Linked DNA regions of Lonchura striata. The protein of the gene in region 1 purifies or fractionates together with the protein of each later gene. This does not show direct contact. Links are inferred from orthologs where the notes say so. Each region holds a gene or a part of one and is shown in the gene's direction. Other genes may lie near its edges.

The links.
Region 2: the proteins of LLGL2 (region 1) and PRKCZ purify together in Homo sapiens (affinity purification with mass spectrometry; 7 studies listed by BioGRID and IntAct, counting the BioPlex papers as one, with this or other methods). This does not show direct contact. The link is inferred for Lonchura striata from reciprocal best matches to the Homo sapiens genes LLGL2 and PRKCZ.
Region 3: the proteins of LLGL2 (region 1) and PARD6B purify together in Homo sapiens (affinity purification with mass spectrometry; 7 studies listed by BioGRID and IntAct, counting the BioPlex papers as one, with this or other methods). This does not show direct contact. The link is inferred for Lonchura striata from reciprocal best matches to the Homo sapiens genes LLGL2 and PARD6B.
Region 4: the proteins of LLGL2 (region 1) and RAD18 purify together in Homo sapiens (affinity purification with mass spectrometry; 3 studies listed by BioGRID and IntAct, counting the BioPlex papers as one, with this or other methods). This does not show direct contact. The link is inferred for Lonchura striata from reciprocal best matches to the Homo sapiens genes LLGL2 and RAD18.

The regions. Positions count from the first base shown.
Region 1 is NC_134621.1:4,677,818-4,685,559, reverse strand, and holds the start of LLGL2 (LLGL scribble cell polarity complex component 2), read left to right. Parts: upstream 1-4,729; 5' UTR 4,730-4,811; intron 4,812-7,742. Other genes in the region: TSEN54 (tRNA-splicing endonuclease subunit Sen54), read left to right, coding at 1-47, 735-857, 1,945-2,095. UniProt on the Homo sapiens protein: Part of a complex with GPSM2/LGN, PRKCI/aPKC and PARD6B/Par-6, which may ensure the correct organization and orientation of bipolar spindles for normal cell division.
Region 2 is NC_134626.1:2,733,281-2,740,997, forward strand, and holds the start of PRKCZ (protein kinase C zeta type), read left to right. Parts: upstream 1-4,708; 5' UTR 4,709-4,877; intron 4,878-5,671; 5' UTR 5,672-5,790; coding exon 5,791-5,861; intron 5,862-7,717. UniProt on the Homo sapiens protein: Calcium- and diacylglycerol-independent serine/threonine-protein kinase that functions in phosphatidylinositol 3-kinase (PI3K) pathway and mitogen-activated protein (MAP) kinase cascade, and is involved in NF-kappa-B activation, mitogenic signaling, cell proliferation, cell polarity, inflammatory response and maintenance of long-term potentiation (LTP).
Region 3 is NC_134619.1:1,171,534-1,179,400, forward strand, and holds the start of PARD6B (partitioning defective 6 homolog beta), read left to right. Parts: upstream 1-4,866; 5' UTR 4,867-4,934; coding exon 4,935-5,000; intron 5,001-7,867. UniProt on the Homo sapiens protein: Adapter protein involved in asymmetrical cell division and cell polarization processes. Probably involved in formation of epithelial tight junctions.
Region 4 is NC_134614.1:23,724,194-23,731,866, reverse strand, and holds the start of RAD18 (E3 ubiquitin-protein ligase RAD18), read left to right. Parts: upstream 1-4,670; 5' UTR 4,671-4,715; coding exon 4,716-4,763; intron 4,764-4,873; coding exon 4,874-4,955; intron 4,956-6,890; coding exon 6,891-6,952; intron 6,953-7,673. UniProt on the Homo sapiens protein: E3 ubiquitin-protein ligase involved in postreplication repair of UV-damaged DNA. Postreplication repair functions in gap-filling of a daughter strand on replication of damaged DNA.

The DNA.
Region 1 (7,742 bases):
CAGATCAGTGTGCTGCAGCCCTCCCACATCCTGGATGGAGCCTCCCGGTTAGTATCCAGCCAGTCAGCTTGGAGCTGTTGGGGAGCAGGAGTGTCTTGGGACTGTCCCTGCTTGTGAGGTCTGTGAGGTGCTCCCAGCAGCAGTTTAGGAGCTGCCACACATATCCAGGGTGCCAAGAGAGCCCTGCTCCATGACCCCCTAGCATCTCTAGTGAGGGGGTGACATTTCCATGAATACCAGGTCCTGCAGCAACAGAGCCAGGGCTTTCTAGGCCAATTAAAACAGCATCTTATCCTGCCCTTCCCTCTGCAGAGCCAGAGGTTTTATAGGGTTTCACCTGTGCCTCATCCTTGGAATGTGCTGCCATCCCTGCTTCAGTGGTTACAAAACCTTGGCTTTGGGACTTGGGGTTCTGCTTCTGCCTCAGAGTCTGTGTGGTGCTTGTGTGCAGTCCCTGCAGTGCTTTGCTCTTGACTTTGTTAGTGCTGCTTCTTGTGAGGGCGTGGGGTAGATGTGAGCCACGATCTTGCTCTGGTCTGACTACAGGAAAGCTCTGGAAAGTAATTCAGTTGCAGGGAGTAATTCAGTCTTTTGAGGAGTGAAGCCTTTCAGGAGACCCAAACTAGTCAGAACTAGACCCAAAATGAAGGGAGTTTTTGCTCTCTCTTTTCTCTGCTGTACTCATACTCTGCAGTGTTTCAATCCCGTACCTGTGTGGGTGTGTTCCCCTGCAGGCTGCAGGAGGACCCAGAGGCCATGAAGATAGACTTCAACGTGTATCAAGCAGACGCAGTGTCCAAATTTAAGAAGACAAACCCTGGGAAGCCCCATGTCAGGATGTGTGTTCGGAGGTACCAGTGAGTCTTGTGCTGTTTCTGAAACTTTGCAGTTGTTGTGGAAAAGAAGTGCTAATGATCTGTAAATGACCCAGCATCTTGTGAGCTTTACAGATCATCAGAGTGTCTCATTTGAGGGTGGTCCTGCCCGCACAGGATTTTTTTTTTTCTTTCAGTTCCTCCTGCTTTGTTGGTGTCTGTGGCAGTTTCCCCCCCTTCCCCCTGCCCTTGCATTCAACCCACACTGTTTGGTCATCTGGTTGCTGCTCTGAGTATGTCTGAGTATCGCTGGGAGTCAGGAGAAAGAAGCCACAGCTTTTATGCAATGCTTGTGAAATTCAGGTAGAACCCAGCGCTATGGGAGCTGAATCCTCAGTCGGTGCAGATTCACTGTGGATTTCTGTAGAGAATTTCTGCAGAACTTACTACAGGCTCTGAGCCATGGGTTCAGCATTTTGATCTTTGTCAAGTGTAATGTTAAAATCACCAAGAACAGAGGGTAGGTGTCCCCTTTCTTGCTGGATCCAGGACCTGGTACTTAAACTCCATAGCTAGGTACAAAGTTCAGTTTCTGCCTTTTCTCATTTTACTTTACTGAAACTGTCCCTCTGCTCTCTGCAGCTGTAGTAGACAGAGCAAGGAAGGTGGTAATGCAGTTTTACCAAGGTATGTCATGAACCAATAGGATGATCCTTGTTGCATAAATATTTTCCTTGATGAGCTAACATACTCTGCAGAATTAAAAGGAGGGAGAAAGCAGGTCAGATGTTGATCTCAGCAACCTAAAGAGCTTTCCAGCACAAAGATATTAAGATTGCAGTGGATTGACCATTTGCCAATATCACTGTGACCCGTATCTAGTGGGCACAGCGTGGAGCAGTGTGCAGTTATCCTTGTTTTTGGCAAAGGATTCAACAGCTCCCAGTTCCTGGCATACTGGATACTCACTCTCAGGGCTGGCAGCTTTTTGCTCGGACTGCAGTGGATGAGGAGAATCACCACCAGCTCCTCAGGCCAAAGGGAGCTGTTGTGATGGCTGGCCAGGACAGCTTTGCCTCTGTGTTCCTCTTGCTTGGAGAACAAACAGGATGTTTTTTTCTCTCTGTAGCTTTGATGAGCAGATCCCCTCCCTGCGGGCTTTGAAGCAGGTGACGTATCTGAGTGGGGATGTCCCGTTGGTCTTTGCACTGGTGGATCATGGAGAAATCACCTTCTATTCACTGAAGGAGTTCAAGCTGCCTGTTGATATTAATCACTGAAGTTGCTATCACTTGGAGAAATGGGATGGGATAAAAGGAAGAGCTTTACTCAGGAGCTGTTTTCCTGATTAATGAAATATTACAGAAAACAGAGCCTGGGATAACTGGAACTTTGGGAAGTTGGCCACTTTATTGGCTGTTACAGACTTCACCCACACAGATGGCTCAGGCATAATGGTTAATTTACAGCGTACAAGTCTGTTTGGCTTAGCTGGGCTTTTCTGGGCTGGAGTACACACTGCTTTGTTCTTGAAACCACTGGCTCTCCGGCTTTCTCACCTCATGGACCACCAGCCTGCTTTCCTGAGTAATTTTTTGCTGACTGTGGACCATTAGAAAACACTTTGCTGGTGATCCTTTTGTCACAAGTAAACCACTGTGCTATATCAGTGGAGTGGTTGGAGTGTCACTGAGGTAAATCAGGGACAGAATAAGCTGATCAGTGCTGGTGGCCTGAGCCTCTGTCATTCAGCTGTGTCAACGACCATCAGATCAGAGTCTGGTCTGAAAAAGGCACAGCCATAAATTCAGTCACCTGGAGGAAAGTGTCCAGACACTCAAGAGCAGGAAACTGTGCCTTGAACACAGTTTCACGAGCCAGAGGCCACAGAAAGTCCCAGAGCATTGCAGATGGCAGCTTGGCCTCCTGAGCTTCATTTTGGCCACCCAGTGTTAAGCCGTGCTAAAACTTGACCACCACTATGAGCACACTGCATCTGGCAGTCTCACCAGGGCTGAGCTGCAGCCCCTCTCTTTCAGCCCAACATCCTCTTTCCTGGCTGTGGATCCTTGTTATTTGTCTTGCACGTGGGAGGTCCCTGAGTAAAGAAAAAGGCTCCAAATTCCTCATGAGTTTTCCAATCTGGTCTCCACCAGCATATCTAGGTACCAAATTTGCTTTAGCCTCTATGCCAAAAGTGCCAGGTGTCAGAAGGTCTGCTCAGTGGGTGGAGGTGAGCTAAGCATGGCTGTGCTTGATATCAAAGTTTTCAGAACTGTAATAGCAACTGGTTTAGATGTGTTTTATTTGGTATTTTTTTAATTCCTTTTGGACATGTGGAGAAGGCTGAGCAATAAAAAAAACCCTTTTCCAACGACGCAGGCTCCTTGGTGCGTTTCTTAATTACCCTAGAAATGTTAAATTATGCAGAGGGAGGCTGTGGAGGCTACTGGGACCCGAGCAGAAGCAGCAGCTGGTGAATGCCTGCTCAAGGTCATGCAGCCCTGTGGCTGCGTAACCCTGGTAACCCTGCTCCTACGCCGGCCGTGCTTGGCTGCAGCCGCTGCCCTGACCCCGGGGAGGGCAGCGTGACTCAGAGCCCGGAGGTGTCCCTGCATCCGCGTGCAGTTCCTGTCGGCACTCCACACCTCTTCCTCGTTCATCTTCCTCCTGCGTGCTCAGAGGTATCATAGCCCGGGGTGCCGCGGCTCTGCTGCCAGCGCCTGTTTCGCACACACGCCCCAGTTATCAGATGCTGGAAGTGGCGGGGCTCTCCTGAGGTGAGGGGTCTGGCGGCTCCTCCCACGCTCCCTCCCCTTCCTCTTCCTCCTTCCAGCAGGGCTTTGGCTCTGATAGTTTTCGCTAAAGCCGGGGTTGGCAGCCCCGGCTGCCCTCAGCATTCTCTCAGACTGTTTTACAGATTAAAGGCAGTGGCAAGGGAGTTTCTAAGAACAGGCGCAGCCAGGAGAAGTGCAGCCTGACCCACAAAGCTCAAGTTTGTCCTGGAATTAGGTCAAACTCACTCCTGTTGATTTCAATCAGTCTCATCTCTTTATGCCAAGGTGGAATTGTATCAATGAAGTCTACCAGAGCCACCCAGTGAGTTTCACTGGGGCAGAGACTCCCTGATTCAGCACAAGACAATTACAGTTTAATAACCACTGCAGAGAGGATTGAGAAACTGTGGCTGTCTTGCTCAGCACTGTAACATCTGATGGTGCCTTTACCCACCCCAGAACAGGAGCATGATCCAGACTGATACCACTGCTCCATTTTGGCCTGGGATGCAGATTAGCTGCTCATTGCAAGAAGATGAAAGAACCAAATATTTAATTGAAAAACATCACTTTTGGAAACGCGGGTGAAATACTGTTACTGGACCCTTGTCAGAGGTAATTTCAAGTTTTTGCATGGATGCAGAGAGGGCAGACCTTCACCTAGCCATTGCCCTTTACATAAATACAGCTTCCTTGTCCATCTACTGTTCCCTGCAGCAGGACGCAGGGTGGCTGCTGCGGGGCGGTGCAATGGGACTTGGTATTCCTCTCTCCAGCGAGTGCTTCGACTCTTTGCAACGTCTGCCTATTTTCGCAGGCAGGGCTGTGAAAGCTGGGAGCTCCGTCGCGGGGCTGGAGCCCGGAGGAAGGGCCCTGGAGCCCGGCCCCGGCTTTCCCCGCCGCCCTTTCCCGGCCTTTTCCCGGCGCCGGCTGCCCGCGCTCCCCGAGCCGCGCGGTGCCGCTCCCTGATTGGCTACAGCGAGCGCGCTGCTGAATTATTCATGAGTGCGCTGGCCGAAAGGGAGGCAGAGCCGCGGCTTATTTGCATGCGAGGCCACGCCCACGCGCGCGGTTTGTATATCGTGGCTCCGCCCACGGGGCGGCCCCGCCCCGCCGCGCCCCGCCCGGAGGTGCCCGCGGAGCGAGGCCGCCGCGCAGCTGAGGGGGAGCGGGCGCGGAGCGGAGCGCGGCCGGGGCGGCCCGGCCCCAGCCCCCGCAGGTGAGCGCCGCTCGCTGGGGCCGCGCGGGGAGGCGGGAGGCGGGAGGCGCTCCCGGGAGGGGTCCCGGCGCGGGGTCCGGCCGGCACGGCCCCGCGGAGCTCTCCGGGGCGGCCCCGCCATGCCCGCCCGTGCTGGGCTGCGCGGCCGGGCCGGCAGGTGCTCGCTGGTTCCCCCGAGAGGGTTCACTCCGCCGGTGCCCGGCTCTCCGCCCTGCCGGGCCGGCCACACCTGGAGCCCCGGCGCACCCGGGGACTCCGGCAGTGTCTCCCCGTGGAACTTGCAGCGGAGGGCTGCTGGCGTTTTGTTCGCTGTTGCGTCCGGTCCCGGGCTCGCCGCGCTGTGCCTGCACGGCCGGAGCGCGGCAGCTCCGCATCCCGGGATTCCCCGGGGGAGGTGGCGGCAGTGGCCGCTCCGGGACTTCCTGCCGGGCCCTGCAGCGGGACCGGCCCGGGGCCGCTCCCGGCGCGCGGAGCCTCCGCGGGGCTGCGGGAGCCGCTCCCGCCCGGTCCCGCGGGCAGCGGTGCCCCGCTCGCAGCCCGGCCCCGCAAGCACCAGTGCTGCCGCTGGCTCCGAGCAGCGGGTCTTGGAGAAGACAAGAGCTGCAGTGACTCTGAGTCCCGTGGGATATTCTGTTAGCATTTTCTCTCTTTTTTATTTCCTATGCCCGTATTAAATGCATCTTGTCACTACTAGTGGTTTTTCTTTCTCCTCCCCGAAGTTGAGAACTCGCTGAATGAAAGAGCACGTTGATTCCAGCAGGCAGCGAACAGGTGTAATAAAACGGTGAAGGAAGTTGTTCAGCCTTTGTCTCAGGTTGCCCTTCATTGTGCCACGGGAACAGGCTCTTGCTGGTATCTCCCCTCCTGGAGCTGGGGCTTAACCTTGGTATTGGAGAAAGCTTTGCCTGTTTGTGTTTAGTTTTGTTGATGGTGTAGAGCAGTTGAATCACACTCCCGGGTGTGTGTTTCTGCAGCCAATGACACAAAACCTTGTGCTGGTGTGACAGGAGAGGGGGACAGCTCCACTGAGATGGTAGAAGTAAAAGTCCATTGTCATGTCTTACTTGATGGGGAATGCTGCTCTTTGTAGTCATCTGAGAGCACTTCAGTCAACTGGAATATCTGGCTTTACCAAGTCCCAGCTGAAGCTGTGTGCCCAGAGCAGCTGCCTGGTGATCTTAACTTTGAATCGGGAAGTTGCTGCTTCTGGCAAGTGGAATGCAAAGTGCTGGTACGTCCCAAGGCTCCTCCATGCATCCTGGCACGTTCCTTGTCGGGGTAGACTGACCCGTGGAGAGGATGAGGATGATCTGTGCCAGTAGTGAGCAGTCCCTAATCCTGCTCAGTGCTGCTTGTAGCCTGTCAAGGGGCTCTATATAGTTTGTGGTATTGGAGAGGGAGAAGAGTTCTCAAACATCTTCATAGGATGGTACTGAGGAATGTCTTTTATTTGGTTTTGAACAAATTGCATCTGCTATAACAGCTGACCAAAGAAAAGTACTGGAGGAGTTAAACCAGTTGAGAGCCCTTTATCTTCCAGTGGCCTTTGGTATGGTAACATAATTATTCCTGGGAATTGCTTATGGAAGAGGTGTGGCTTTTCTTGGCTGACAATAGAAGCTTGAGAAATGTCAAAGACCAAGGGAGGTTTTAAACCTATGTCTTGCATGGCAATAAGAGTATGTGATACTGCTAGTACAATAATTTTTCTTTAAAATACCAAAGGAGGCACTGGTTTGGTTTCTATGCAGAAATTGTGTGGAAACTCCAGTTCTCATATACGCATTTCTCAAAGCTGGATCTCTTTATGTTGCTTTATGAAGCAAATGCTTTCATGGTTTGCTCCATTGACCTACTGTTTGTAAAGTGCTGCTCCAAAGTTACAAGCCCCTTTTCTGTTTGATTCACGCTCCTTAGCAAAGCCTACAAAAGGTTTTGCATCATGGGCAATAATGTTGTTCAGTGCAAAGACTTTGTTCTGCTGTAGCATTTTGAAACTTTGTGTTGTCATGCCCCCATGACAAGGAGAACACAATAGGAGTCCTAATGACACACAAGGTTTGCACAATTCCCAAATTCATTGCAGGTGGGCGGTTCCTGGTAATTCCAAGTACAAGGCTGTTGGCAGTACATGAACTTGCCTGAGTTGTGTGATTACTTCTCAATTATTTTCAAAGGCTTCTTGGAGAATCGATGTCTGATAGTTTGTTTAATATTGTTTGTGTTTTAGGAGGGCAGCCACTTGCACATAGTGTTACCACAGTCTGTTCAGTTGTTCATTTCACTGTCTCTCCAGATTCACTGAAGTAAATTCCTTTTAAAGGATCTTTTGGTTTTCCTTGCTGACTACTGTATGCAAGGTGCACCTGAACACTCTCTTGTTTATGAAAATGCAAGTGGCAGGGGGTAGCAGTGGCTCAGCAGTTGTGTAAAGGAGATCTCTGCATGGTCTCATTAAACTGAGATTAATGTTAGAGCATCTTCCTTCTCCTGGGAAGAGGAGGTGGTGTCTTACACTTCTCTCTGTGTACTGCAACTGCTCCTTCCCTTGCTTTAGCTGTTCTGCTTGGTTTGTGCTTTTCTTGAGTATCTGCCTTGACAGTGTGTCACAGCCAAGCAGGGTGGTAGAGGTGAACAGTTAAAGAATAGCTCAGGCTCGTTTCATTGATTTCAAGCTAAAATTGTTCTTAAATTTGTCCTTTCACAGTGAGTCATGGCACCTGTAATGGAAAAATGTGATAAATCTGGTGTTTAAGTGATACTTTGCTCAGTTCTGTTGGTGTGAGATCGCTGGTGCTAAGGAAGAGCTTTTTGCTGTGCAGCTGACCCAGCCTCTATTGTCTCACTGTTGACTGTGTTGGTAACAGCAACAGGGCAAACTCCTGGGTGCAGGAGAGAACCTGGTTCAGACAAGGCCATGGGAGTGACCTT
Region 2 (7,717 bases), on another chromosome or scaffold:
CTCATCTTTGTAGGTGAAACTTTTATATATAACCTTGTATGTGCATATATATAAAGGACGGGAGGTTCTATATGTTCTTGATCAATTACAGTGCACACAGTATTGTAAAATCAAACAGGTTGTTTAAATATCCTGAAAAAGTAAATACAGAAGCACAAAGATTTGGGTTTAGTTGCTTTTAAAGATGTGTAGTTTGGGCTACTCATATAATTCTTTCTCCTCCTGGCTAATGAGGTGTCAACAAGAGAGTCAGCTTCTGGTTGCTTCTATCTTATATAAGACAGACAAGTAAGGGAGGTGTTGGCTTAAAATAGTCTTGAAACATTATTCATTTTGTCTATTTTAACACAGGCTAGAAAAACACTAATATTCAAGCCAGCAAGAAAATCTACAAAGAATTGCCATGGTGATTTCTGATATTATGGAGAATATCTGCTTTACTCGAGTTTATGTTCAAATATATTAATGCTTTGCCTTATTATTTTTATCCAAACTTTGTGGCACCTGGCCCAAATTCATTCCCACTGCACCCAAGGATTTCACTGCCAGTTATTTCAATGGAAACAATATCTAGTCTCTTCCTTGGCAAAAGAAGAGAGTAAGTAGGCTGGAGAGCAGCCTGCACATGCTGCTGGTTTGATCTGCTAAAGAGACATTCTATGGGGAGGCATTTTTATTCTCAAGTGATACAGAACTGGTTACTCATGCTTCACATGCACTTGGAGAAATGAGCTGTCTCTCTCAATTTCTTTGTTGTTTAGTTCACAGTGTGAAAGCATCATTCTAATCCCTACTAAATCTTTAAAACCTTGCAAACTTGAAAGGTCCTAATATAGCTGAAGATTTTGAGTCATGAATTCAAGTACTAGCAGGATACCTGTCTTCTACCGAGGTGAAATTAGTACCGATTGACCCTTTTTTGCAACAATTGTCTGGGAAAAGTAGCTACCATAACGATGTTTTCATTGGAGTGTTTGGGAGGGAGGAGTTTTCTGGTCAGCCTTGTCAGAAACAGACAAGTACCTTGTGTCTGATGGCTCAAGCTGTACTTTAGATTGATGCAGTCATTAACCCAAATATTTATATATTTTTTTTAAGTTTTAAACTGATTTTTAAAGGAGAGTTCTCAACACACTGAAGCACTAAATAAAGACGTACGACTTGTAAGCATCGTCTGCACAAGCGTGACTCCCAGCGAGTTGCCTGGGAGTCTCTTGCCATCTGCTGGAAACGTGCTGATGTACAGCCTGAAAGGAATTTACCTCAGTGCCAGGAAATAATGGAGAATATTCGGAAAACTCATAACTTTAACTCAAAAAGACAATTCACATCAGACTCCCAGGCTGCAGCAGTTGGACTAACTACCATCATTAGATTCTTGAATAAATCACATTTTTGCTGATACAGATAATCTGTGGCATGATTGGATGCTGAGGTTGAATGTAGAATTTCAGAAATGAAATATTTGAAAAAAACCAAAACCTTCTTTAGCTTTCTCTTTCTCAAACAAATTGCTTCAAATCACTGCTCTTGAAAGATTAGATATGAAAATATTCTAATGGTGATTTTTAAAAGAACTAGAATTTTAAATATCTTATTTACACTTGGAATAAAATAAAATTCAATTAAATTGCTGGTAGGAGCCTGTCAGCTCTTCACATCTAGGTAGAATAGACAGAAATATTGCAACTTTTAAGTTGAAGATGGCTTGGTAGAAGACGAAAGTGCCTGCCATCTGGAAAAATATAGGGTGGGGCAAAAAGGTGAGGAATACACTCAGGATTTACAACTTGTTGTGTTTCAAACCAGTTACAACCTTGTCAGCTAATGCATAGAACAAAGTCAAGGTCCTCTCCAAAAACTGCCATCTGCCCAGAAGTGGGAAGCATCTATTGAGAAATTCAACTGTTTAAACAGTCTTGTAACATAAGAAAATACAAACCAACCCAAAACAACAGCAAGTGAACAACTACAAAATATCTCAGTGAGATATAAAAATATTATGGTTGAGATTTTTTTCGTCAAGCACTGAAAATACACCTGAGCTTTTCTCCTTGGTAAGTTGTGCTAGAAGAAAAAACAGCAATAAGCCACACAAAACTTCAGATCACAGCTCTGAAGAACCTTTTATCTCCCAATCCAACAGCTCAAGGAGATGAAGCATTTAATTGACATGGAGATCAAAGACTACCTTGACCTGAAAGAATTATGTTTGCAGACCTACCTTACATAATGTTCTCCATTTTAAGCAGAAAAATTTGGAGCACATGAAGATTTAAGGACCCACTTTGAAACCAAATTGAGCGTTCCAAATAAGATAAAATTAGCAGTGGACACACAAATAATTCAATTTAAGACTGATAAATGAAGCCATGGGGTGTATTTCCTTGGTGTCAGAGAAAACATCTCAACTGATGGGAATACATTTTCCATTTTACTGCTAATTAAATTAGTGCCAACTGTTATTTATTTGTATTTTGGAAGATTGTAGAAACATCAAAAAAAGCCTCAGAACTGCACTGCTGCAAACTGTCCAACTCACAAACCCCAAAAGCTCCACAAAAGTGCTGAGAAAGTGCTAAATGTGCCTGAAGAAACTTGATGGAGGTGTACAAATCCAGCTAGCCCAAAAAAAAATCTAATAGTTGTGTCTTCTGTTTTGTTTTCCAAATGGGGTGGCTCATGTTTCCCAATGGTGGATATAAATACATCAAGAAAAGCCCCAAAGAAACCCTTTTGCTTGGATAGCTTATTTTCTTAGAAAAGTTTTAAATTACACCAGGAAAACAGCTGTTTGGGCAGGATGAGCAGCATTTCCACTAGAGGACTCTCTGAGTTCACCATCCCAGCTTTCCGTGAGGAAAAAGCAGTTGATCCTCATTCATTCACAGTTTGGAAGCAAAATATCAAAGCATCATCAGGGAAGAACATCAAAACCAAACTTTACAAAGCATTAAACATGTCACAGACTGCCTCTTGTGGAACTCTAGTTGCTCCACCACTAATATAATGTTTTTCTCTCTTGTCTGGCCAGTCTGATATTATTACCTCTTTATTATCTCAGCTGTGATGTTCCTGCTTTAGCCACTTTGAGTGGCCCCTCCCCAGGATGGTTGCTGGATTGACACTCATGGGACATCACTGCTGGGGCTTCCTGCGGAGATTTCTTGGGAAGCAGCTCTGGCAGCACCGGGGAAGACAGAGAGGGCCTGTCCTGCCACACTTGTCCCTTCAGCACCTGGCCTTTATCCCCTCAGCACATGTCCCTTCCCCTCACATCTGTCCCCTGAGGAGCTCACCTCTGCCCCCATATCAGTTCTTCCCCACTGGTTCCCTCACACCAGTTCCCTCAGCACTTGTCCCCAGCCCCTTCACACCAGTCCCCTTACACCAGTGTCTTGTCACACTTGTCCCCTCACACCTGTCCCCTGTCCCCTCAGCACTGTCCTCTATCCCTCACACCACTCCCCTCACACCTGTCCTCCCTGACATGTCCTGTAGCCCCTCACACCTGTCCCCTGACAGCAGTCCCCTCAACACTGTCCCCTCACACGAGTCCACTGACACCTGTCTCCCTCACCTGTCCCCTCATCCTTGTCCCCTGAGCAGTCCCCTCAGCAGTGTCCCCTCGCACCAGTTCCCTGTCCCCATAGCACTATCCCCTCACACTCCTCCCCTGTCCACTCACCGAGTCCCCTCAGCACTGTGCCCTGACACTGTCCCCTCACAGCAATCCCTTCTCACCTGTCCCCTCACACCTTCCCGTCACAGCAGTCCCCTCAGCGCAGTCCGCTCAGCACTGTCCCTTCACACCTGTCCCCTCACACCTGTCCCCTCTCACCTGTCCCCTCAGCACTGTCCCTTCACACCTGTCCCCTCACACCTGACCCCTCAGCACTGTCCCCTTAACCCTGTCCCCTCAGCACTGTCCCCTCTCACCTGTCCCCTCACACCTGTCCCCTCAGCACTGTCCCCTCTCACCTGTCCCCTCAGCACTGTCCCCTCTCATCTGTCCCCTCTCACCTCTCCCCTCAGCACAGTCCCCTCAGCACTGTCCCTTCACACCTGTCCCCTCTCACCTGTCCCCTCACACCTGTCCCCTCAGCACTGTACCCTCACACCTGTCCCCTCAGCACTGTCCCCTCACACCTCTCCCCTCAGCACTGTCCCCTCTCACCTGTCCCCTCACACCTGTCCCCTCAGCACTGTCCCCTCTCACCTCTCCCCTCAGCACTGTCCCCTCAGCACTGTCCCCTCAGCAATGTCCCCTCTCACCTCTCCCCTGCGCACTGTCCCCTCAGCACTGTCCCCTCTCACCTGTCCCCTCACACCTGTCCCCTCTCACCTCTCCCCTCAGCACAGTCCCCTCTCACCTGTCCCCCCGCTCCCTCAGCCGCCGCTCCCTGCAGCGCCGCGTTCCCATTGGCTGCAGGTGTTCCCCGCCGCCCCCCCGCCCGCTCTGGTTGGCCGGGACGCTCCGGCTCCCCAGGTAACGGTTCCCGCGCTGCCATTGGCGGCGGGCAGGCGGGACCCGGGCGGGGATTGGCTCTCCATTGGCTGCGGCTCCCGCCCTCAGACCGCCATGTTGCCGCGGGCGCGGGGCGCTGAGCCTGGACAGCGGCTGAGGGGCGCCGGGGCCACCTGGGGCGGGACTTGACGGGGCGCCTGAGGGACAGCGCGGCTCCTCCGCCGGCCGCCGCCGCCGCCGCTCCCCGCCGGGGCACCGCCGGCAGCGAGGCAAAGTCCGCTTGGAAACTTCCTTGCGGGACTTTGAGCAACTTGAGGCCGCGGAGGTGTAGCCGGGCCGGGCTCAGGGAGCGGCCCCTGCGCGCCGCGGAGCCCCACCGTGTAGGGTGGGACCGCCGCGGTCGGAGCAGGTAAGAGTCCGGACGGTCCCGGTGGACACCGCTCCGTCCGGGGAAGTGCCGGCGCCGGCTCGTCCCGAGCGGTGGTGCCGAGTCCCGGCCGCTCCCCGCAGGCCGGGGCTGAGGGGGGACCCCGGAGGGGCCGCGTGTTGCCCTGAGCCCCCGGAGGGGCCGCGTGTTGCCCTGAGCCCCCGGAGGGGCCGCGTGTTGCCCTGAGCCCCCCGGAGGGTCGGGTGGAGGGTTCGGGGGTCTCCGCTCCCCGGTACCTGTGGGCCGGCTTGCCCGGACAGCGGGGTTACGGAGGTGCGTGCATACACACATTCATGTGTGAGGTGGTAGTTTGGAATAAACAGGATGTTTGTCAGGCTCCAATCATAAAGGTATGCTAAATTGCCCCTCGGAGTTCCTCTGCTGCTTCCCTTGGGTAGATTTGTAATTGATAGTAATTGACTGCAATGTTTTATTTACAGAAAAAAACTATTTTTAGTTATTTGGGAGAAAAGAGTAAGATGCTGTGTTGATGAATAAGTAAAAACTTCTGTGGAGTATTTCAGCCACTAGGGAGCTAGTCGATGATTTTAAGAAAACATCCTCAAATACCTGGTCTACTTCTGTAAAGCTAAATTGTACAGGGTATTTTTAACCAATCTTATTTAATTTCTGTGCAGGTCAATGGTCTTACACATTTTCCTTTTGATTTTTTTGCTGTTCTATGTAAAGCTATCTGTGTTTCTAAAATTTGACACAACTCATTTGTTTAGCAGTGTGTGTATATTCATCAATATTTTGGGTTTTTATCTATGCAGCTGGATTGAGAATCATCTGGAGCAGAAACACATTTCACATGTGAAGCTCTTCAGAATCTGTTATCTGTTTTGAATCAACTTATTTCTGCATACTTTTATATAACTGCTAAATACAGACCATGCCTAGCAGAATGGGCTCAAAAATTGATCTGAACAAAGACTTCATCAGGGTAAAAACACACTACAGCGGGTAAGTCAGTGTGTCCTTTCCTCTGTGTTGTGACCTGTCTATTTTTGAAGTGTATTGAGCAGGAGTTTGTGGTCTGACCTGGTGATAAAGTAACCAGGGCTTTGGTGGATTTGTAATTAGTGTCAGATCAGACAGGTAAACTTCTGAGCTATTAAAATACCAGTCAGACTCCTGCAGCATGCTGATCAAGAAGAAAAGTTAATTTATTTTTCTCTCAGAAGGGAAGAAAATGTGCATCAGTGACAAACCCACAGTCATTGTGGGTTGATGGATTATTGATTCCCATGGTCATAGTCAGGTCTAGATCCATCTCCTGCATCCAGATGCAGTTATTACATTTTATCCTGTTTATAGTCAGAATGTCATGGTCCCTTATGGCTTCACTCAGTTGACAGTATAAACAGGAAGGTTTTATTGCAGCAACATGAAATTTGAATTTTCAGGTATGTTTATTCTAATTGGTTTGCTGCCCCTCTGAGGACCTTATAAAATGATGTTGCTTCAGTTTCTCCTGTCTTCCTTGAAAGCCTGAGTTTAAGGCATTTGAGGAGTTAAATACTTGGCCCAAGTAAATCCTTAAACTTGATTGGAAGTATTTAGACTGAACTTGTTGCCATTTAATAAGTAGCTTGAGTGATATTTTCTGATACTCTACTGCTAAATAAGTAAATGTAGCTACTGCTATGTATGGTAGTAGAAATTATCGTAATATAGAATTTTCTACATTATGGTGTAGAAAAATGTGATGTAGTTATGAAAGTCACTTCACAAATTTTATTGAAAACAAAATGTTTTCGTTTTAAAGTTACCTACTTATCAATGCCAGGTAGTTTGAGGTCCTGAGTTTAGAGTTCTAGAACAACTGAATCAGCTCTGTGAGGGAAGGCACTACAAGCACCAATGGAACTGGGTGTAAATAATTTGGGGTGGCTTGCTGTCAGGTAGTGTTGATACAAAGTGAAAGGAGTATGTCTGTGGAACTTGTCTGTGCACAACTGGGAGAGGTGATAATAATTGTGTCAATGTTAGAAGTCAAGTTATTATTAGTCAAATTAGAAGTCAAATTATTATTACCATGTTTTACAATAAACTGCTGTAGTTTTTTCCTGCAGCACTACATTGTCTTTTGCATTAGCTATGAAGTCTACAGAAGTCAGTTTGCAAACAAGAGTTCCAAGTGCTATGAATTTTGTTTTTGTTCTGCTGATCAAATTGTGTGAGGTAAAAAAGACTCTTTGTGGCATTGTAGCCTCTAAAACTGATCATCTCAGTATCTCCACTGCAGTACCGCACTCGGCTTTTGAACAAATTTGAGACTGCAGGAAATCATTGATGCTGGGCAACTTCAGAATTAGGGACTAACTGCTGAAATTAAAATAATAGTACAGATGCCATGTTGAAATGCCTGTTAGAAATCTGAGCATGGGGAAGTTTAAAACATGAGCGTTGAGTGTATCCCTGGAGTATGAGTATCTCAGGTATTCCTGTTTCTGGGTGTGACAGAGTTCCTAACATAGCACAGTAGAAATCACTGCCAGAGTAGATTACAAAAGAAAAACTAACTGCAATAATGAACCAAGAATTACACAACTTGCCTCTCTATACCTGGTTGCTTGAAATCACTAAAACAGAGCAATGGTGCAGTCTGCTTTGTTGTGCGTTGTCTTGGCTCTGAGAGATGACATGTTTGATCTGTCACTGGGATTATTTCTTGTGCTGTAACTACTCATACAGAATTTACTGATCATTAGCATTTCATATTACTGTCTAGTCTACAGTTTCAAATATTTTTTTTTAAGTGTCCTGTGGGATTATTTAGTGTTAAACAAGGAATGGTTTTCACTTCCCTGTGCCCT
Region 3 (7,867 bases), on another chromosome or scaffold:
AGGCACTGAGAACAGGAGCTGGGGGACAGGGGGACAGGGCATGGCCACTCCAGAGGGACACCAGGCACTGAGAACAGGAGCTGCTGCTCAGGAAACTGGGGAGCCCACATGATTTTCCCTTTTTCCCACCCCACTAAAATTCTGGACCAGGAACACTCAGTGAGTAGTGGAAAACCAAGCAGGAAATGTTCAGGAATTCTTTCGTGTAAAGATCCCCAGAAGTGTTTCGCAGTGGCCTGGGCAGCTCAGCACCAGCGTGGCTTCTCGGAGCGCTCCGGGCAGAGAGATAAATCATTAAACCCCACACGAGTGCAAGCTGAGGGGTCAGCTGGGATCCAAACTGCCCTTCTAAACAAGGGGGAATTTCAAAGGAATTCAGAGTCATTGGACACAAATGGATTGCTAGATGAAGGGGAAGAAAGAGCTTTAAAAGCTTTTCATTATTTTAGTTAGAAACCTCAGAGAATTTAAATGAATGTATCAATATCAGCTTTCGACTTGCTAGGAAGGGGTTTTCAGAAAACTTCACGAGTTTATTGCTGGACCAAGTTTATAACTGGATTTATAACACACCTGAAACAAATGTTTCTTTCACAGGCAGCATGGTATGAAGACAACCTTTCCCATAAAGGCAGACAAAATAAAAGTACAAACCAACGAAGACCCCCCCCAACCCCAGGAAACTATAAATATTTTATCGGAAAAGATCTTATATATGAACTTGAAAAACAATCAATTCATTTTGTCACAGACAGGTAAGTAAATATTGCATCAAAGTAACAACTAAAGGTTCCTGGAGGAGGAGTGGAGAAGAAAAATTGCTGCTAGTTTTCCTGACAGGAAAGAAGAAAGCAAAGGCAGAAACAGAACACAAAAACTTATTACTAACCCAACTATTGTTTCCCCCCTCAGTAAAATAAAATTTTAAAAACTCAAACAAACAGATAAACAAAAAACCCATCCCAAATTAAAATCCTGTAACTGCCACAATTTCAGTGTAAGAAATAAAATTTTTATTACACAAGTGCTACTCAAATACTGCTGTTATTAATGAAGCAGCTACGTTGCCATGCCCTGGGGTTTTCTTGCTGAGCCTTGCTGCTGTTTTTGTGTAGAGCTGTTGGTGTGGAGTGTGTTCCATGGAGATAAAGGGTAACAAGCTCCCCTTCTCAAATTCTTCCTCTCTGATGCAGCACTTGTGAGCTCACATCCTGCCTCGGGATCAGCACTATCAGCAGAGAGTATTCAATGGATTTTATGGATTCGTGGGAAGTAGTGCTCTACAATAATTTTGTATTTGTGACCATCAGACGCCCCCATGACAGCACTGGTTTGTCTCCAGCACTCACTTATCAAGGAGAGGCCAAAAGCAATTTGAGGTCACGCTGGTCCCTAATATTGTGAAAATGGAGTATCCAAGAGCACACACTACTGTTGAAAATGCTTCTTTGTAGGGAAATGTAACTGGGACACAACATTAATGTATCAAAATTGCAGAAGGTATCAAAAAGAAAGCCTGTAAGTACAGGATTTATTTTTGAAAGAAAGCAGAATTTTATTAACATTTTGAAAATAAAGCTTCTCTTTTTCCCCTTTAGTTTTCTCTACCCATAAAAAACTCTCCAGTCTCTCATCAACTCCAAGACAAGCTCAGATTACAATCTAGTGCATCTAACAATCACTCCTCTGAGCTGGCACTGACAGTGTAAATAAAGACTACTTTATGTTAAATATGAAATCAGCATAAGCCCTGAACTATGTAATAAAAGATTAGGTGGATCATCAATATAGTTAACCTATGCTGACAGCAATTTTCTGTGCTTTATTCTTGGAAATACTCTCTGAAATCCCAGGAGGGCTGTATGGAATACAATTCCACTTAAAATCTCAGAAATCTGGAATAGGAAACCAACATCTTGGCACAATCTCACTATACTGCATGGTGGACCTAAGTGATGGAATTTCTACACAAAAACAAACAAATGGGGAGAAAAAGGCCTCCCAAAAAAGCTTCCCCAGCTGCTCAGAGATCAGGAAACCCAACCTGTCTTTCAACTTCACAGAAACTGAACGTGCCGTGAATAGCTTGACCAGGTCTGAATCACAGGTTGTACAGAACTTGTGACTAAAATAGCTCTATAAGCTTACCTTACAAAGAGCCTGCCTCACTCCCCACCTTTATCTGAGATCAAATTGTTTATCACATTCCTTCCTCGTACGTCAGCTCCTTGTGATGAAAGCCAGCCAGTGATTAATACATTTTATTAGGTTGGTTCCAGTGACTTGAAATGAATTTGCCCTGACTCCTCAGGCTCGCTCCCACACCCACTGCCTGGCACTCCAGCCATGCTAGGAATGCACAATAGAAAACAAATTATCTTAGGCGATACCTCATAAATCTATAGCAGTAAAATTAACTGCACAACAGCTCCAAGCAGAAATCAGCTTCAGGAGGTTTTTCCTCCCTTTCTCCAGGAGAAAAGAGCCAACCCAGCAGCTTTAAAGCCCCAGAGAAATCACTGTTCCCTTGTCTCTTGCACTCTTCTCTGTGCTCAGCTCATTAAACAGAGCTGTAGAAGACAGATATGGAAAGCAGTCCAAACTCTTTTCAATGTTATAATTACAAAGTGACAGAATAAGAGGTTTTATCCTGGTCTTGCTCTCAGAGCTGTAATCTTCCTTCTACTGCACCAGGATCACAGATTCTATCTGAATTTACAGGTTGAATTCTCTACGTGTCCTTCTGCAGTGTAAAACCAAAACATGCTGGATAAAGGATGAGAAGATTTGAATCAGCCTAGACACCGTCTGGCAGCAAACTATATTTAACTATTAACAATATCCTCTGTGCTAATTACAGCTTGTCTTGGCTCGAGTGAGAGCTGCAATTCCTTTGCCTTTGGCGTGATGGGAGGAAGATCAACTGTACAAAAATCAGCACCGACTTAGAAGTGATTCAGCACTGGATGCATTTTATTTAATTACTGATTACCAACTGAGACTTGAGGACTAGACACCCGTGGCGTGCCTCAGGTGCAAGGCATTGTTTGAGCTACCATCACTGGCATCCACACATGATGAAACCTCACACGGCATTCTCTTCCACCAGGTTCATAGATAATGGAGAGACCTGTAATTCAAAGGTCTGTTGACATAATGAGATTAATGTACATGCTTTCTTCTTGTCCATACACGTGAGAAGTAATTTATTTTCAGACAGTTTACAATCTTTTTCTAAACCTTGTACTTTTGTCAGGGTAGCTTAACTGGCCTTTAAATGAAATTTAAAAGTTAGCTCTGACATTACCAGATCCTGCAATCTTATTTGTGACCAAAATGAAAACAAGCTCCATGAACAGCTTTACGTTCAGGATGGACATAAAGCCACATCCTGAGAGGGAGACGTCACACTTTTGGCCTGACCAAGGTTTATTTATGTAACATGCAAACATCAGCTAGCACTGGTGCGGTTTGCGTGTTACATCCGTGGGATCCCAGGATCCCTGAATCACAGAATCACTGGGACTGGAAACGATCTTTCTCTGGAGATCATCCAGTCCATCCCCACGCTCCATGTCTGAGGGCTCGGAGCCTCCAGGGCAGCCTGACCCGGGGGCTCCGGGGCTGTGAGGGGCACTGGGCCGCGGGATGCGGCTCCGCAGGGCTGCGGAGGAGCAGCAGCGCAGCACGAGGCTCCTGGGGCTGTGGGAGAATTAGGGCTGGCTCCTCGGGGCTGTGGAGGATCCAGAGCTCGCCATGGAGGCTCCCGCGGCTGTGGGAGAATTAGGGCTGGCTCCTCGGGGCTGTGGAGGATCCAGAGCTTGCCATGGAGGCTCCCGCGGCTGTGGGAGAATTAGAGCTGGCTCCTCAGGGCTGTGGAGGATCCGGAGCTCGCCATGGCTAGAGCTGACTCCTCAGGGCTATGGAAGACCCAGAGCTCGCCATGGAGGCTCCTGGGGCTGTGGGTTAGGGTTGGCTCCTCAGGGATGTGGAGCATCTGGAGCTTGCCATGGCCAGGGTTGGCTCCTCAGGGCTATGGAAGACCCAGAGCTTGCCATGGAGGCTCCTGGGGCTGTGGGTTAGGGTTGGCTCCTCAGGGATGTGGAAGACCCAGAGCTCGCCATGGAGGCTCCTGGGGCTGTGGAGGACCCAAAGCTCGCCACGGCCAGGGTTGGCTCCTCAGGGCTGTGGAGGATCCAGAGCTCGCCATGGAGGCTCCTGGGGTTGTGGGTTAGGGTCTGGTTGGCTCCTCAGGGATGCGGAAGACCCCGAGATCGCCATGGAGGCTCCCGGGGCTGTGGGAGGGTTAGGTTGGCTCCGCAGGGCTGTGGGGGAGCCGGAGCTCGCCGTGGAGGCTCCCGAGGGCCGCGGGAGGATGCGGAGCCGCGGGATGGCGGCTCCCCGGGGCGGGAGGTGCCTGAGGAAGCAGCGGGAGCCGAGCCGCGCTCCGGCCCCGTGCGCGCACAGCCGCGGCCGCTGCGGGCACAGGAGCGGCGGCACGGCCCGCACCCGCTGCGGGGACAGGAGCACAGAGCCCCGCACGGGCCCGCACCCGCTGCGGGGAGAGAAGCAGAGGCACGGCCCGCACCCGCTGCGGGCCAGCAGCACAGCAGCGCGGCCCCTCACGGCCCCTCACGGCCCGGACCCGCTGCGGGCCAGCAGCACGGCCCCTCACGGCCCCTCACGGCCCCCGCCCCGCCGCCTCCATCTTGCGCGGCGGGGCAGGTGCGGCCCGCGGAGGCGGCGCAGGCGCGGCGCGGCCCCGCCCCGGTGCCCGGCAGGTGCCGGAGCCGCGCGGCCCCGCCCCGGCCCGGCCGCGCTGAGGGCGGAGGCGGCGGAGCGGCCGCGGGTGCCGGGCTTTGGCTGGGCCGCGCCGCCGCCCGTCCCGCGGCGCTCCGGCGGACGGAGGAGCCAGAGCAGCGACCGCGCGCGGCATGAGCCGGGCTCCGCGCGGCGCCGCGGGCAGCCGCGGCCTGGGCACCATGGAGGTGAAGAGCAAGGTGGGAGCTGCCGCCGCCCGAGGGCCGCGGGCGCGGGGGAAGGAGCGGGCCGGCCCCGCGCGGCCGCGGTGTCGCTGCGGGGACGGGATGGGGACGGCTGCTGACTCACCTGCCCGAGGGGCCGCCGGGCACGGCCCCGCCGGGCCTGAGCGCTCCGCAGGCCGCGGGCCCGGCGCTCCCTCCCCCGGCCCCGCTGCCCAGCGCTGGGGTCGCTTGCTGGGTGCGCTGTCTGCGGGCGCGAAATGTAAATGGTTTTGAAGTGCTTTAAAAAAAAAACAGGTAAGTGGAGTTGACCCCTGAGTTTCTGGACAGAATGAAAGACGTACAGACAAATATGTGCTCTAGGGAAAGTGTGGGATCACTGGGCCAAAAGAGGTATTTAGAGACATTCTTGGGGAGTGGGCTACATGATCTCCAGAGGTCCCTTCCAACCCTGAAAGTCCTGTGATAATTCGAGACCTTCTCTTTGTCCGAATTGCGGTGAGTGCGTTTGTTAGTGACTGTTTCTGTAGTTACCTTTTTTCCCCTAATGATTATGTCTTTCTGCAGCTTGTTGTGCGGTACAGCATAGGCTCACAGTAGAGCTAGAGGTGAGCCCTGGCTGGCTTATCCGAAAGTGGAGTTTGCCTTCTCTTAGAGGCCCCGGGAGACTTTTACCCTGGCAATGTTTCAGGAGTGTGTACCTGTGTGTTCCCGCAGAGATCACCTCTGTCAGGTGCTCACAGCTTTGCCCAGCTCTGTAAATTCCCCCATGCGTGTATCCACGTCTCTTCTATTTTTAATTTTTATTTGCTGGTTAGGCAAAGTTTTTCTGACAAAACTTAGATATTCTGAGAAAAATTAGATTTTTTTTTTTTTTTGTTCTGCTTTATATTTGTAATAACTTCCAGTTGTAAAACTGCTGGATGTACAGTATGAGTTGGAGTATCACCGTTAGTTTAATAAATGTTGCGCTGAAACACCTTTTTCATTGCCTAGGCAGATTGTAAGTGCATCCACGTGGGAATGTGTTTTCCATTGGTGGACACATGGATCTCTCTGGTTGTTTTTTGAAGTGTTCTGTCCCCTCCTTTCCTGCTAGTGAGGTCTTACAGCAGCAGTGCAGGTGAAGCAGTCAGGACTTGAGCTGTGTGGATGTCTAAGGGTAACGCATCATAGTGCTGGAACTTCTGGAGAGTGTAAGGTTGGTCTCTACTTGAATGAGGATGATTTCTTTTAGAGTGTTCATTTTTCATGTGGTTTTAACCAGCAAGCACAGGAATATCTGGTAGCTGTTATTTCAAATACCGGCTAAGTTAGTACTATGATGGTGAAGTCTTCTATTTATGCTCTTATAAGGTTGAAAAGAGTCAGTATGATGTGCTTACAAACCCAAATCACTTGTTTCCTCAGCCCAGAACTCCAGGTTTACTGTTTTCCCTGCTGTGTGTTTTCCTTGATTTAAAATACATCGAGGGAATCAGCCATGTGGTGTGTTCTGGTGTTTGTACAGAGAAGTGTAGCCCTAATGAACAGGGATTGTCCCTCAAGTGCATATTATGGAGCAGGATTCAAGACATTCCTAGAACTACTTGTTGCTAATGCATTATTTAACAGCACCTCAATTAATATCACAGAGGAGTCATCTTCCTTCTATGAAAATGAGCAATTCTGAAGAGAAAGAAATGCCTGTGTGGGAGGTGGAGGGACCATTCCTGTGGAGTGGCCTGGGCTTTGAAGGCTCTCCGTGATGTACAGCTCTTTATTTAGATATTCCAAATCAATAATTGTGCCTCAGCTGACAAGGCTGGGCCAGCACAGCCCAACTGTGCTTGCAGTAGCAGGAGCACAATCCTTTTGTTAGTTTAGTTTATTCACTTTGGGTAACTGCTCTGAGCTTGCCCTGGCAATTCCCCATAGTACTTGAATTCCAGTCAGCCTGTTTTCTTGTCATGGAAAATAAAACTTTATACCCCAGACTAGAGTTCCTACTGATGGTATGGGAACCCCAAAATAAGCTTCTAGTTCTCTATATATTAAAATTCGTGTTTTCCCCCTTTCTCATGACTTGGAATAATATTTTTTCTGAGTAAAATCTTAATGACTGGTGAGCCAGAGAAGGTCAGTGCAGCTCATGTTCTGTCAATGATGGAGACATGCATAGGGCAGCTCTGTGCTGTGTTTCAGACCCATACATGAGTGTTGAGTGGGCATCCCGGGTGCCTTCCTGGTGTGCTGCCATGGCTCTCCTGCCTTCTCCCAGGGGAGCAGCACAGGCTTGTAAAGAGCTCAGGTGGCAAGGAGCCTTCTGTGCTTGAGTTACTCCTCCAGTGTCTCTAGGACCTCAAGTGCAGGCCTGTTTCATGGGATGGAGGGCAGCATCTGGTAGAAAATGCAGACGTTTCAGGGATTCAGATAATGGAATTGCACAGTTGGACTTGTCTTTTACCTGCTTTCTAATAGTATTGAGCAAACTATGTTAGGAAATACGAGTGGGTTATGAGCCTTTTGGTATTTGCACCAAATATGTATAAAATAACATGGAAAAAATAAAAATCGCACGTTTGAAAATCTGACCCTTTGCTTGCTGTGGTAAGATTCAACATTTATTCCAGCCTGAGGGTGAGGTTGTTGACTTTTTAAAACTTTTGTTACTGAATTACGTTTAAAGTATGTAATCCTTGAAAGCCAAAGAATTTCGATGGCTGCCATGCATGGACAGTTCCTGCGGGGCTCGGATCTGAGACAGGACGAAGTCCTGCACTGATGTCACCATTAAGCTGCGCTGCCTCTGACGTGATGGGAGTTCCTCCCGTGGGCTGGGCTTTGTTTGTAAGCAGGTACGAATCATCCCTTCTTCCTCATTAGTTAATGTTAGGGTAATTGCG
Region 4 (7,673 bases), on another chromosome or scaffold:
GTTTGTCAGATGTCAGCTCCCCTGGCCCTGCCCAGGGATAGCTCATCAGCCTGGGAGGGACAGTGCTGGCACCAGCCAGTGCTGCTGAGGGTTTGGTGCATTCTGAGCTTGATTTCAATTTTAGTATTTTTCTTGGAATGTTTTTGCCCCCTGCTCCAGCACAGTGTCCCCGTGTCCCTGGAGTGGAGCCCTTCCTTGGCTGGCCAGTGCTGGTGTGGTGGTGTCTGAGTGCTCCTGGTGCCCCCAGCTGTCCCCACCCTGCTGCCTCTGGCTGCAGCAGCCCTGCAGCAGCCCTGCAGCAGCACTCAGCAGCCAGGGCTGAGCGATCCCACTCCCTGGGGAGGCTGTGCTGCATCCCACACCTGAGCTGGCTGCAGGCACAGAATGAGGATATTTACCCAACTTCTGAAAACTTTATTATTTCCCCTTAAAACCCACCTACAGCCTCACTATAGAAACACTGGAAACCGGGCTTTAGCAGGCCTGAGAGACTGCAGCATTACCCATCTTCTGTAAATACTGTGGAGCAGTTGGAAACCTTTGTATGATCCCAGCTCAGCTGGAAAACAGCACCACATTCCTGCTGCCCTTTGGGATCATTTCCCCTTCTTGTTGGGTGGGAGGCAGCAGCTGTTGAAACAGTTTGGTTTAAGTGTTTCATGAGATAAAAGTGTAATTTGCTGGATTTTAAATATCTCATGCATCAGATCAGCATAAGTACTGCAGGTAAACCAGCCTTGCTCTGCTCCACAGAGAAGCCTCTTCCCTCCCCAGGAGCCTTCCAGAAGCTTGGGCTTGGAGTCTCTGATGGTGCAAAATCCGTGGAGGTTTGTGTGCTGGAAATGAAGCTTCAGCTCAGGAGCAAAGCTCATCCCAGGCTTTAAATCTAATAACAGCCTCCTGACAGCCTCCGAAGGCCAGGCACCCTCGGACAGCTCCGAATCCCACCCGAGCCCCGTCAGCACGAGACTCATGCACGTGTGTCTGGTTGTGCCTAACGAAGACAAATCTCTTCATTAAGGGGCTCAGCTGCCGGGCAGCCGGAGGTTTGGTGACGGGAGCCTGGCTGGAGCTCTGCAGCGAGGGACGGGCTGGGCAGGCTCTGCAGCCCGGCCCGAGCCTGGGCTCCCTGTGGGCCAGGAAGGGCTGTCAGCAGCGCTCAGCCCAAACCTTCCATCCCACTCAAAGGCAGCGAGCTGCTTTCCCTCCTGGAGGAGTCTCAGCCGACAAGAAATCCTGTCCTTGGCTGCGTTACCCACCGCTGCCTGCTGCTGCTGAGCACTGATGAAGCTTCTCTTGGATTTCTGTCTCCAAACTGTTGCTGCATCCATTTTTTTTACCCCTTTCAAGACAGCCTTTATAAAAATAATATATTTAGCAATGACTGGCGAGTGCTGAAGCTGGCAGAGCTGTACCATAGAGCAGGGCAGTGCTGAGCTTGTGAGGCCGTGGCAATGTCCGAGGGTGAGGAGGCTCTCAGAAGGCTCTAGGGTGAGATGCAGCCTTTTTCTTAAAAGAAAGAAAAAATCTAGTCTTATGTAAGACAAAACATCTGCTAGTGCATGAGTAATGCCTTCCCTCCTCCCTGGTGTGGCAACCGAAGTCCATGGGAATTGTGTGAACGATTGTTTCCTGTAAGAAGTTATACACTGTTCACAGGTTTTTGGGGACAAGCCCTGTGTGCAGCCACGCCTTCCCTTTTGCTGCTTGCTCGTGGCTTTGGATCCTGCTGCTCCTGGCCCCGCTGATCCTGCCCGTCCCAAGGCTCCCACCTCCTCATGTCCCAGCAGGACTCCTGTGGCTGCCAGTCTGCCCAGTGCCACCCACCAGGGAATGGGGCTAATTCACGTCTGTGCTGAATTTCTATTGATATGGCTTGAATTTTGGTGTCGTTTCCCTGCCTGGAGCTCAGTTCTGGACACTCTGGGTCAGTGTCCCTGGCCAGAGCAGGAGGAGCTGCTGGGTCCAGCACAGGTGAGTGCTCCTGCCAGATGGATGGGTGCAGGTGTCTCTCAGCTTCCAAACGCTGCACCAGCCATGCTCTGGGCTTCTGCTTTCCATGGTCTGGGACATTAATTGCTGCCAGAATTACTAATGAGCTTCAGCTTTTAGCCTGAGTGCTGCAGGCTGCTCCTCCAAGGTGGAGATCATGGAGTCAATTAAGTAATTACCTGGTGTTTCAGCTGCCAGCACCCGAGAGGTTTTGTTTTTCACCACTGGCATCAATCCCAACACACATCTCACCCAGACTCATCAGCAGTGGTTTGTGCACTACTGGAGCAAGCTGGAGCTGCCTTTTCTGCATGTGTTCTGGTGACAAATGGCTCCGTCTCCCTCTGTTTAGTCTCATTCTGGCACATAAATCCAGGCGTAAGCAGGCTAAGCTGAGCAGAAGCCAAAACTGCCTCTTCAAAATTCTCTTGTTGCGAGTGTTTTACCTCAGTGATGTGATGAGCAGCAGCTCACCAATGGAAAGCAGAGCGGGCTGAGCTGGAGGTGACAGACAGTGGCACAAGGAGCAGCCAGACTCTGCTGAGGCCCCACGGGCCAGGGAAATGCATCTCCAGTGGCTCCTGGCACTCATCAGCCTCGTGGCAAGGCAGTGCTGGGGCGTTCTGTGCACAGGGACGGGGCTGGTGGGAGGGATCCCTGCCCTCGGGCACCTCTGGGCACAAGCTCCAGCGGCACAAATGCAAAATCCATGGCACAGCATGCACGCCTTGTTGGTGAAAGCTGTGCTCTTAATTAAATCAGGGTTGGGAAGTGCTGAGGGACCAGAGCCCCACGAGGAGCTCTCAGGCCTCTCCTGCAATTCCCAGTAATTTACAGGGAATAGAAATGAGCCTTCATAGGAGCAGGGCATGTCTTGTCTTACCCTGCAGAGAGATGGAGTGGAGGGAGGTCTGCTACCCTTGCATTGCAAGGGCTGAGAACTGCTTCATGTTCAGGAACAGGGGAAGGCAGCAATGAAGTGGCAAATACAGCAGCAGAACAACCCAAACAGTTTTTAGCAAAGGAATGAAGCCCCAGCAATGGGCATTTTGGTGGCAAATCAGCAGCCATATGGCACAACAGACTGACAACAATTTGTATCCAAACTCTGCTCCCAACATCCCTTTCCTAGTCCCACGTCCCTTTCCTAGCTGAAAAAGGCAAAATCTGTGCAGGACAGCTGGAATGTCAACTAAGAAGCACTTCTGTTAATGCATTGACTCTCTTGCCTTTGGATTTCACCCAATTTACCCTTTTTTCTGCATGGGAATGCAAATGGTTGTTTCCTATTTGTCAGCCCCTGCCTGTGACGTCCATCACAGGTCTCTGGTGGGGTACTGCAGTTACACACACAGAGTATCTGCACAGGGAATCACTGCTGGAAACTAGGCACTGGAAAGTCATCTCCCACTGAGAAGGAAGGCTCTTAGCCTTTCCTGGGGCTGGCATGCTGTTTCTGGGCTCTTGCTGGTACTCGTTCTCAAAATGCTCAGGAACCACATGTTAATTTAATTCAGGTTGTTTGTTTTGGTTTGGTTTGAGGGTTTTTTGGGGGACTTTTTCTGCCTTGGTTTATTTTGAATGGTGGGGAAGGGAATTGCACCCAGGCTAAGAACCAAACAGCCAAAGAGTGACTCTAGGGCACAAAGCTGGCAATGCAATGCACTGCTGGGAGACAACCAGAGAGAATGGAAGGTATTACAGACCTATCACCGTGTCTAGGTGTGCATGGATTGTCCGTGTGGGAGTTTTTATACTGGAGTAGTTTAACGCTAGTGAGATTACTCATGATTTTCCCAGCGTTTACTGGACCAGCATCAGTGTCCAAATGGGAGATACCTGCACGTGCAAAACAATGTCTCTGAAACATCACCCAGTGTCGCTCGTTGCTGTTGGCCGAAGGCAGCAAAGGCCAATTCAGCGCTGGCTCCTTCTCTGGCTGCCAGTGTCCGTGTCCCAGGTCAGGCTCTGCCCGTTCCCCTGCAGCCTCCGCTGCCCAGGGCTCTGCTCCCTTCCATTTCCATTGCCGTTCCCGGCACGTCTATCCCCGTCCCCGTTCCCGGCGGCTCCATTCCTGCTCCCATCCACGCTCCCATCCCGTTCCCCGTTTCTCACCCTTTCCATTCCCGCTCCTGTCCCCGCTCCCGTTCCCCGTTCTCACCAGTTCCATCCCCGCTCCCGGCGGTTCCCGTTCCCCATCCCCGTCCCCGTTCCGTATCTCCCGCTGCCGCAGTTCCCGCAGTTCCCGCAGTTCCCGTTCCCCATCCCTGTTCCCCATTCCCGTTCCCCATCCCCGTTCCCGCCCCGTTCCGTATCTCCCGCTGCCGCAGTTCCCGTTCCCCGTTCCGGTTCCCCATCCCCGTTCCCGTTCCCTATCTCCAGCTGCCGCAGTTCCCGCAGTTCCCGTTCCCCATCCCCATCCCCGTTCCCGTTCCGTATCCCCCGCCGCCGCAGCTGCGCGGGCGGAAGCGCGGGCGGAAGCGCGGGCGGAAGCGCGGGCGGAAGCCGGCGGGAAGCGCGGGCGGAAGCGCGGCCGGAAGCCGGCGGGAAGCGCGGGCGGAAGCCGGCGGGGAGCGCGGGCGGAAGCCGGCGGGGAGCGCGGGCGGAAGCGCGGGCGGAAGCGCGGCCGGAAGCCGGCGGGGAGCGCGGGCGGAAGTGCGGGCGGAAGCCGGCGGGGAGCGCGGGCGGAAGCGCGGCCGCGGCGGGAGCGACCGAGCCCGGCCATGCCGCTGCTGGAGCCGCCGTGGCCGCCCGGCCTGGCCCCGCTGAAGGTGCGTGCGGGCCGGGTCCCGGGGTTGTCCCGGGGTTGTCCCGGGCCGGGTCCCGGGGCGGGCGGTGCCCCGGCCCGGCCCTGCCCGCCGCTCACCCGCTCTCCTTGCAGGCCGTGGATGACTTGCTGCGCTGCGGGATTTGCTTCGACTACTTCAGCATCGCCGTGATCATCCCGCAGTGCTCGCACAGCTGTGAGTGCCGCGGGAGGGCGGCGGGGCCGTGTCCCGCCGGACGGGAGGACAGCGGGGAAGTTCGGCCCGGCCGGTCCCGGGCGGGGATGTTCGGCCCGGCACGCAGAAGGCTCCGGAGCCTGCAGGAGAGATGGCCAGGAACGATTTACCAGGGCCTGGCATGGCTTCCCACGGTTCGGTGGGAGATGCAGAAGAAGCTTCCCCGGGAGGGCGGTGGTGCCCTGCGCAGGGTGCCCAGAGCAGCTGGGGCCGCCCCATCCTTGGCAGTGCCCGAGGCCAGATTGGGTGGGGTTTGCCGCACCCTGGGACAGTGGAAAATGTCTTGCCCATGGCAGGGGGTGCAACTGGCTGGGCTTCAGGGTCCCTTCCCACCCAAACCGTTCTAGGGTGCCTCGATTCTCTTTGCCGTGGAAGCTGGGAGGAGCTTGGCAAGATGGAAGCAGCCAGAGCCCTCCCTGCTGTAGTTCCTGCTGTAACACAAGCATGTGGCATCTGGCATTCTTACTGTAAATATCTTTCTTAACATCTTGAGGGTGGTACAAATGCAAAGCTCTATGTGCTGAGCATTAAGACCTCAAATTTTCCATGCTGTTCTGTCTGCCCTGCAAGATACCGACTGGAACCTGACCCCAAGTGCTTTGTTGAAGCCAGATTAGGAGGGAAGTACCTTGCCTTTTCCCACGTTAAAATAAATGCTTGTGATTGTTAGGTTCAGAAACTGTAGCACTTCCTTCCCTGAAGGGGGCCGTTGTCATTTGGCAGTGAAGTTTAGTTTAGCTTGGCAGAGCTGTCACCACTGAAGCCAGAGTGGGGAGCCACAGAACTGGGAATTCTCTTCACTGGCGGCTGGTGCAGCCATGGCTCTGAGCAGCAATCTTTGCACGTGGGCCATGGGAGGCTGCTGGGGTGTTGGATGCTGGCAGCCTGGGTCTGCCACTTCATTCCTATTCCTACAGTTAAAGTTTGTTTCTTAATGGCTTTCTCACCCTATACCACTTCTTGCTACGTGTCTAGTAATTTTTGAGCATTTAAATGGATATGTGGTTTTAAGTGTTAATTGGTGCTTTAGAACAGGTTGGATTTGGCTTGGACAGCCTGGTCTAGTGGAAGATGCCCTGCCCATGGCAGGGGCAGGGGGTGGGATGAAATGAGCTTTAAGGTCCCTCCCAACCCAAACCATTCTGGGATTAATTAATGCTTCTGCTGCTTTTCTGATGCATTCTCAGAGGGCCTATGAAATATAGATCTTTTTCAGGAACTAGTGCTGAAACTCTGACCTATGATGATCTAGTGAGGGAATTTTGTCCTGGAGAATGATGAGATTTTTTTAAATCCTTAAGTGGCTGTGAAAGCTATGGGATAAATTGACAAAGTGTAACAAACACAGAAATGTACTGTGACAGTGTGTTTCACCGCCCAGCCTGTCGAGGCATCCTGTGATGGTGAGGTGACATTAAGCTGTCTCTCAGCATTTCAGTGCTGTCTGCCCTCCTTTCCAGCCTCTTCTCTCGACAGCAAGTTGGTATTGTTTTGGAAAGGGGCAGAAGAGCCTGGGGGAAAGGAGATTGTAAGTTTGTCTGGGGCTGTGCAGGCAGATGAAAGTGATCAGCATTAGTCATGTCAAAAACCCAGTTTTTGTGGGGGAGTGAGCAGTGCAGCCACTGCTGTAGTGGTGGGGGCTGAGGAAGGCTTTCTTGCACTGGGGAACAAAAGGAAGCAAACATCAGCTTTCGGTGGAGGAGCTGATATTTGAAATGTGCTTGAATAAAATGCAGGTTCTTTTCCAACAATGATAATTCCATGTGAAAATGGTGTGTTTTCAATATTTGTGTGTTGTGGAGTAGCTTGTGTGTGTTGTACAACAAGGAAATACACAAGCAAGGATGTGGATGTGCACTTGGAATAATGCTCACAACGATGTGTTCCCTTTTCCAGATTGTTCCCTTTGTATCCGCAAGTCTTTGTCCTACAAAACGCAGTGTCCAACGTGCTGTGTGGTAAGTGTGGTTTTCCCCCTCAGTTTATTTTTAATCTTTTGGCAAATCTTAGGAGCTTTTGCCTTTGGACTGTGCCAAGTAATCAATTCTGATTGCATGGGCAAAGTGTGGTGCTCTTGCATCTGGAATTGTTCTGTTCCAGAGGTACTCCTTTGTCAGTGCAGGCAGAAGGGGATGGAGAATCAGGCCTGAGGTTTGGTCAGGACTGTGTACAATCTGTCACAAAACATTTAACATTAATTTGTTAAAATACTCCATGATTTAAACCAGCAGTGCTGAAACGTAAGCGCTTCATTTTCTGTGTGTGAGTGGCCCCATTTAATCTCAAAGTAAAAATAGAATAAAAAAGTAATAAAAGCTTTTTTAAAAATAAGAGCAGAGAGAGTTGCAGCGTGGTAAAAATCAGAAATTGTTTAAAAAGAATGAACTGAATGCACAGAGGCAACTCATAATTCATATTTTCATGCCATAATCAGAAGATTAACATCTCCCTTCATCAGTTTTCATGCTTTGTTGCTTAAGGTTCTTACCACCTTCAGAAGATGGTTTGGTTTGGTTTCCAAAATTATTAGACCTGTGCTGCAACAAACCATTACTGGAGCCTGGGCACACTGGGCTTTGTTGCTTTAGCTTTATGCTTTGTTTTCGCCTGTTACCTTAATATCCCAGACTTAAGTTCTCAGGCAGTTACTTTAATATGAGATATTTTTGGGGAAGAAGT